2 linked regions of the Caenorhabditis elegans genome follow. The protein of the gene in region 1 interacts with the protein of each later gene in a pairwise test. Each region holds a gene or a part of one and is shown on either strand. Other genes may lie near its edges.

What was found.
Region 2: the proteins of F45D3.4 (region 1) and pid-2 interact in a two-hybrid assay, tested with the Caenorhabditis elegans proteins (one large-scale study listed by BioGRID).

The regions. Positions count from the first base shown.
Region 1 is NC_003283.11:12,551,698-12,555,461, reverse strand, and holds F45D3.4 (uncharacterized protein), read left to right. Parts: upstream 1-2,270; 5' UTR 2,271-2,295; coding exon 2,296-2,383; intron 2,384-2,438; coding exon 2,439-3,037; 3' UTR 3,038-3,249; downstream 3,250-3,764.
Region 2 is NC_003279.8:91,038-95,393, reverse strand, and holds pid-2 (Protein pid-2), read right to left. Parts: upstream 2,373-4,356; 5' UTR 2,303-2,372; coding exon 2,258-2,302; intron 2,213-2,257; coding exon 1,838-2,212; intron 1,786-1,837; coding exon 1,379-1,785; intron 1,331-1,378; coding exon 1,186-1,330; intron 1,126-1,185; coding exon 826-1,125; intron 773-825; coding exon 680-772; 3' UTR 531-679; downstream 1-530. Other genes in the region: Y48G1C.13 (Chitin-binding type-2 domain-containing protein), read left to right, coding at 82-157, 276-418, 465-530; natc-3 (Sm domain-containing protein), read right to left, coding at 2,746-2,871, 3,800-3,985. UniProt on the Caenorhabditis elegans protein: Involved in gene silencing mediated by a class of 21 nucleotide PIWI-interacting RNAs (piRNAs) that possess a uracil residue at the 5'-end (also called 21U-RNAs) and that guide the Piwi protein prg-1 to its DNA targets for silencing.

The sequences.
Region 1 (3,764 bases):
AATTTTAATCTTTGTCCGTTACTAAGAGACGTTTTGGAGAGGTACTAAACATGTCTGTAGGGTGGTTTTCAGATCAGAAATCTACGGAAACAGAGTAAACACAACTGTTGCTGCGTGACTTTTCTTCCGATTGTCAAGACAACAAACAGATACGATTGCAAGCATCTATTTCTAGGTATCAAGGACGCAAGTTGAATAGTGTCTGAAACAGTTTAGAAAGCTAGACTTAAAATGCTCACTTAAAATCCTTTAGATGAAACGACTTGTGATGAAAAACATAACTAAAGTAAAATTTGATTCCATACCTGCAGCATCGTCAGGATACTTGATTATTTTAATACGGATTATACCACAAGCATACATTTTTTTCAACAATTACCGATTTCAACAGCTCCCAAGTCTCAACATTATTAATATGAACGGAAATGTTTTCAGTGAAATTCGTATTGGAAATAAATACACCTTTTCTTTATCAAGTTATCAAAAATGTACAGGTCCATCTTTGTGGGGATTCAATTTTTGATAATTCAACAATTTTTTTTCGAGTTTTCGCAAGCGCTCAAAATAATAAAAAAAAGTGATGAAATTTCTGGGTAACCCCAACTTTCAAATAAATTTTCATTGATAGAAAACTCTACCTAGAAAGTTTCTTATTCGTATCGATGTCTAGACAACGAGGTTTTCCATGTTATTATCGGGTGCACGGTGGGTACAGACTTACTAACAATTATCGTCAAAATCATGATTTCTTCGCCAATAAGATCAACCTTTGTACCGTAACCCAACAAGACCAGATCATCTGAAAACCCAAAAACATCTCCAATATGATTGATAAAATCGTTTATTCCTGATGACGTGGCTTCGACAAACGGACGCCTTGTTAGCTGTGGAACGTGCCGTCGATCATTCCTTTTTTCACAGACATTCCTATCATCCAATTCATATCTGGGTAACTGTCACTGACATCGATCCCCCTCGGGTATCTCATTTTAACTACCAATTGAGACTGATCTACACCACGCCTCAACTGACCAATGCCACGTCAACGATAACTGATGAAAACATGAAGAAAATGAGATGATAGAAGTACAACTACACATTCCATTTCTCTTTTTTCTTCCTTGTCGCTATCAGACTGTTAAAATGAGAGAGAGAGAGAAATAGATATCCCTGATGATCCTATAAATAAATATCCTACCTGTGGCCTTGAAATGATTGAAATTGTTGAGTAAAGTTGAATGGAAAGGATCAGAAAACATAATGAGATAAGAAGGCAAAAGACACTTAAGATTAAAAAAGTTGAAAACACTTTCAATTAGATTAAAGTGAAAAACAAGTGTTAGGTGTGAAATTTGAAAATATTTTTTGTGTACTTAGTTGTTTTCTATACGGATAACAACGAGATCTACAGATAATCCCAAATTGTCATTATGAAACGCTTGTAGTTAAAAAGTGAATTCTCAATTGAGCTGTAAAAAAATATATGGCTCATGAAAATTCGAGTTTGAGGACCCAGTTTCTGGCAAAGAATACGCCAAACTTAGCTTAGAAAAATGAAAATATAAGCAGATCCCCTTTAATATCCCTAGATTAGTATAAATACTTAAATAACATTTGAATTTAAGAAACTCAACAGAAGATAAAGTAAGAAATAAAAACATAAAATATACAAAAACGATTGTACAACATTGTTTGCTTAGATAGAGATGAACATGTCCAGCTTGAAACATGTTCACACTAGTGAGATCGGTTCCTTTTCGAACCTCTATAATCCCATTAATCTTCATGAGACTTTTACCGCGCGTCATTCTATATCACGAGGCGATCTCCATCTCTTATCCCCGTGTTAGATACATCTCTATCTTTAGCCCATAAGTGATAAGATAAATGATAAGCGTCGTCATCGACACTTTGTCCCGCGACAAAAAAAAAATGGAAACCAGCGCCACGCGAACGGTGATGGACACGAACTGAACAGAACGTCGCCAGAAACTGCGAAAAGTTATCCTTATCATATCAGATATAATCAGCTGATTAGGGATTTGTTATCTAGACAGTGATAGAGGAATGTAAACACCTCATATCTTATGATAATTCACGAGATTTTTGTCCTTGGCGCCGCCCATCCTTCTCCAAGCGCCGCCCATCCACTTGGGGAAGGACGGCGTGCGCGCGCCTCTGATCAACGACTACAGGGCGGCAATATTTAATGGCTGACGAGGAAGACATTGTACCTCACTTCAAGTGTTCATTCCTTTTTCTATTTTTAGAAAACACAACCGCTCGAAATAAACCATGAACTTCTCTCTATTCTTCGCTACTGTTCTCTTGACAGCTTTCGCTGCATCAAAACCAACTACAACAACTACTGAAAAACCAGATGGTTAGTTTTAAACTCGAAATTATTTGAGCTCTTTTATTATCATTGTTTTTTCTAGACTCCTTCGATCTTGACCTGTTCCTCGGTGCCATGGGAGATGGGCATTTTGCCGATGGAAATGGAAATGTCGACGGAGTTGTTCCAATGACTCCAAAGAAATCCGAGAAACTTCCAGGACAAAAGAAAGTAAAGGATGAATTTGAGCAACCAGATGGAGTTGTACCCGAATTCACTGGATCTTTTGTTACTGAAAATCCAGAAACAGCATCTGCCTCGACTCAAACTTCCGATGAGGATACCGATGAGGATTACTTCGGAGAATCTACCGGTGGAGCTGCCGTTGCTGGACCAATCACCAATCCAGCTGCCACTTATCTCGAGGGTTCTGATTTCGAGAAAGTTACTCAACCATCCTGCCAAATGCTCGGATGCACTGGACCAATTCCAAACGACGGCTCTTACTCTGCTTTGTCTGCTACTTTGGATAACAAAGCCTGCAATCAAATCTTTGTGGCAATGAATGGATGTACTGATAATAAGGGATATCCAATGGGAATGCTCTGCTCCGTTTGCTGTGATTGTGCCAACTCTTTTGTACAGGAGATGAAGAAGACATTCGGTTACAAATCAAACATTCCAACCTCTACATTCAACTAAATCAGTTGATTGTTTGATGCTCTTCACTTCTATCATTTTTCATCTGTACATTCATTCTTCAACTTGCTTCTGCTTCTGTAATTGTACCTACCATTTTCTTAAACAATCGACTACGGGTTCGATTGCCAATTTTGCCGGTCTCTTGTATATAATCCCACATGCTCGCTTTTGCCCAAAAAACACTGGTTTGTAAATAAATACTTTGATACATTTGAATTTGATCCATGAATCAATTGCAGTAGATATTGAAGCTGTTGTCTTCTCAACAAAAAAAAATTGAAAAATCAAAAATCAGAAGTCGAAATGTTTCCAAATTCTAATTTGGCAAATGTTGTACATTCCAAACCTATTAGGATTCAATTGGTGGTTTCTCATTTCGAATTCCATACTCTCAGATACTTTTTTCTCCGAACAAATGCCCATTTTTCTACTTTGATTGACAAGTGAACTTGGCACGTCAAAACAGGTTATTTTTTAGACGGGTCAAAGAATAAATCAAGGAATGAAAAATGGAGGAACTTAACAAATACCATTGAAAACAAGATATTAATTCGTGATAAAACAAACGAATGTCTGCGGCCAAAGATTACCTGAATCTTGGCTTCAAGCCCTCAGATGTGCCTTACTGGCGCCATCACATCTTCTTCAGTCGTATCAACATCCTTTATCTGCGGTTATGTCTACGTCTTGTCTATTCCAATTGTTTTAATGATCCATCTACATAATT
Region 2 (4,356 bases), on another chromosome or scaffold:
AAATAAATGTTGCTTTGTTTTCTTACAGCTCAAAAATTCCTATAAAAACCAAACGAAACCCCCAAAAACAATTAAATTTCAATGCTTCTCCCTATCAAAATTTTCCTAGTTGCTGGCTTCCTTGTCGATGGACAATCGACTCCTACAAAAAGCTATCGTAAGTTGAGGTTTGGATCTCGCGGCGAGTTTATTGATTTTTAATTGAAAAATCGATAATAAACAGCGCTTTTTCCCGATTACTGTAGTACTTCGCTGCGAGACCAACAACTTTTCAGCGGTACCGAACCCATTAAACGGTACATGTCAATATGATGGTCTGGCCATGGCGGATCCATACGATCCAATGATATTCTATCAATGTTGCAAATATATGTGGTTTTTTCAAACTTGCAACGACGGCATGGTTTTTGATAAAATTGCGAGTTTGTTTGATTGATAAAAATTTCAAACCCTTTCCGTTTCAGAAACTCGCCTGCGTTCCATCTTCTGGTTCTTCTCAAAAACTGGCAGTTAATCAGAAAGTTTTTTAATTGCTAATTAAAAATATACGTTAATTTAGCATGAAACATAGGACATAACAAGTAAAGAAAAAGGGAAAATTGAACAAAAGAAAAAAAACGGGAAAATACTTTTTAAAATAAGGCAGAAGAAATACAGAAATATATAAAACTTTGAGTGATCAAAATGGGCACTCGCTGAATCCTCGTAGTGATTTGAGGCAATAATCCGGCTGTTTCATGCAGATTGGTGAACTTCGGACTTCGGATTTCAGCTGAAAATAAGAAAATTTATCGAAAGCCTTTTTCTCTGGAAAATTGTGCTTACAACGTGCTCTTTCTGATACTGATCACGCATTTTCCGAACAGACGGTGGCCACGTCTTCGGGCAATAATTCAGAAAGCGTCCTTCGGTAATAATCATCACGACTCGCGGGGGTCCGGCGATAAGTGCTTCGAAATATGCAAACGTGCTGTTCTGATAGCACGGAACCACGAACGCCATCATGCTTCCCTTCGTCGCGTATTTTTCACCCGCCGACTCAATGATTCCGATTTGATTTGCACCGGCGAACACATTAACGTGACCCTCCAATCTTTGAGACTTCAGCCAGTAGCCGTTCGGTGTCTGGAAATAGATAAATAATTATAAATGCTGTTAAAATTTAATATTAAAATGATTAAGCACCTTCTTTGTAACGACTAAATCATCGAATCTGAGCACTCTCGCTGGCCATAAATTGCGCCCAATATTCGGATCCTTCTCTGATTCTTCGATGAGTGGCTGGAACGATGATATGGTCCATTGAATCGGGGAACCATCGGGAATCGAGCTGAAAATTTGGAACTATTATTCTTTTTACGCGTTTTTTTTAACTAACAAGTTAAATTCCGCCTTGACAGTAATATGGCACATTCGCAACGGCGCGAAAATCTGCATCTCGGTCAGCAGCAGCTTCCGTCGAATATTGGCTCGATCCGCGGCACTCAGATAGATCGGTCCGACCGCATCTGTCCAAACCATCGTCCTGTGCGTCTGATGATCGTCGTCCAACACAAAATCAATCCAATTCACTATCCCGAAAATCCGAAGCTCGACGCCTTTGTTGTAACGATATTTGGGACTGATTAGACCAGTTTGAGGAAGGGACGAGTGAATCGGAAGCACTTCGTACAGACCGTCTCCGATGATTTTGTACTTCACTAGCGGCGTTTTGTCGATCGAATCCGTCTGTTGAGGCGTGAGAATTATGCGTTGGATTCCGCCTCGATAGCTGTAGAGTAGGTGCTGAAATTTAAAAAATGAGATTGAAAATCAAAATTTTTTTCGTAATTCCTACTTGATAATTCGCCTTATCCGGCGTTTTCTCCTTATTAATCGCCAAAGCGATGTACCAATCGTGATCGCGGTACTCGACAAGCTCAGAGGCCTCGAACTTGTCATCCTCGCTTCCTATTCTTTCGATCACCGCCCAACACTCGTTCTCGACGTCTTTTTCGTCGTCCTCGAACACTTCTGAGCCATCTGCGGGGACATTCATGTAGAACCGTGGGCCCACGTCGAAGTGATCCGGAATTTTCCGGCTCGAACTGACGCGATGTTCCTTCGACTTGCTGGACACGGTTTTGATCTCCTGAACCGGTGGATGCTCTTTCTGGTTATTCTGGACCGGAACTTCTCTCAGAATTATCCGTGGGGGCTCGGGTGGCAACATCTCAAAATTGGTTATTAGATTTTACGGCGAAATTTTGAAAAATACCTGTTTTGATTGAGGTCCCCAGTGTGACGCTATAATAACTGTCATATTTCAGCGCTACAAGTAATAAAATATTCAAAAAAAAGTCGCAAAAAGACTTGAGAAAAAAATAACTCGAAATTCGAAAATTAAACTCCTAAAATTAAAGGCGCAGGCGTTTCCCAGTTTGGGTCTCGATGCGACATTGTCGTGTACTCCACGGGGACTTCGTTTACCATGAGTGTTTTTTGAAAAACGACAATGCATTGCTTTTTTGTGGAAAACACGAAAAACGTGAAATTTTAAACATAAAAATTTAATATTTTCCAGTCTTTGTACATATTCAGCATTTTCAACTGATGGCGCGCGGTTCCAAGTGAAGCCTGCGATTTTTTTTCGAATGTTTTTTCATATTTGGATGAGATGAACAAAAATCGCTTCGATAAAAATTAATTTATATTAATCTTGACAAGAAAAGGATGGGATAAATTAGAGAAAATAAGAAAACTGGATCAAATTTCAGTTTCTTTAGGGTCCGGCAACGCGTGCATCGATTCCACGTGCTTTTTCGAGATCATCGCTTGCCCTAGAAATCGGACTCCTTTCAATTGTGGATCTTTGTCCCATCGCTCGTCTGCCTGGAAATTAAAAGAAATTGCTGAAAGACAGAGAAGCACTGGGATTTTAATATTATACGATTTTTGGTAACAAACCCTAATTCCAACCATTTCAGCGTTGGAAACCTGAAAAAAACTTGATTTTTCATGATTTTCAGACAAAATCCTGCCTTTTCTGAAATATTTATTCGTGAGATAGAAAATTGTGTAGTGCCGCGCAGAAAACGGGGTGGGCGTTGTTTTGCAAACCTGCGGCGCGTCGGCTCTAGTGTACTACTCGTGGAGAACTTTTTGGTTACAATACACGATTTTTTGTTATTTTCGCTTATTTTTCCGTGTTTGACATTCGAATTGGTTAAAACTTGTCATTTGAATCCAGAAAAGAAAAACACGAAATTCATCGTTTTTAACCGCAAACCTTATAAATAATCGATCGTTCAAAAGTTAAATACTGAAAAAAAAACAACGAAAATGAAATAAAATCAAGCATTTTTTTCAAAAAAGTTTCGATTTTACTTGTTTCTTTCTCTTTCTTTTCGAATGAAAATGATATCCAATTTAATTCTAATAAGATTAAGACTCTTAATTTGAGAGGATATTCCATGTTTTTATATGCAATTTAGCATATGTGAATTATTTAGAATGAATACCATTTTTATACAAAAAAGAGAAAAAACAAGTACAATCGAAACTTTCTTGAAAAAAAAAGTTGTGGAAAAACCATGCGGCAGTGTTGCGATGTTCCGCTCCGCCCCACTCTCTGTGTAACTCAGATGTTTGCACAATTCACGGATCGATCATTTTTGCAGTAGCCTGGTAGCCGAGAAAATTGCGAAAACTAAGCCAGCAATAGAAAAAGGCGGAATGTTGTTTTGCCTGCGGCGCATAATTTTAAGGAAAAATATTTGAAACTATGAGCTTTTGGACCAAATTTTCATCAAATTTTTACCTTGTTGAAAACCATATTAGCGTCCTTGTCAGTGGCGATCATCGTGCCACGTATGTACCGCCCGTCGGTCATTCGAATTTCATAGCGTTTGCCAATGTATTCCAGCACTTTCAGATGGGCTTCCGACTTTTTCGCGTTCTCGTGTCCCTTCAACTGAATCAAATCGGTACTTTGATCGTCGCACATGCTAGCTGTCAATCGTCTTGTTCTTTTCATTTTAGAGGGGGGGGGGGGGGTCTGGAAAATCAAATAGACATGGATGACGCCACCAATAATGAAAATTTCAAAAACATTAAGAAAAAAGTATTTTTTCAGTCCGTAAAAATTTAGACATATGTATCACAACACAAAATATGTAACAAGTTTTGAAATGAGAAAATAATCACATTTTTGTCTAATTATGCAGAATAAAAGTGAAGTAGGTTCCCGCCACGGGGTTTTAGAGATTTTTTGGTAGATCAAAAATAAATTTGATGAAAATTCGGAAAGAAAACCGATAACTCCAAAATGCACACTGAAAAATCGACAAACTTTCAAGATTTTTTCCAATTTTTTAA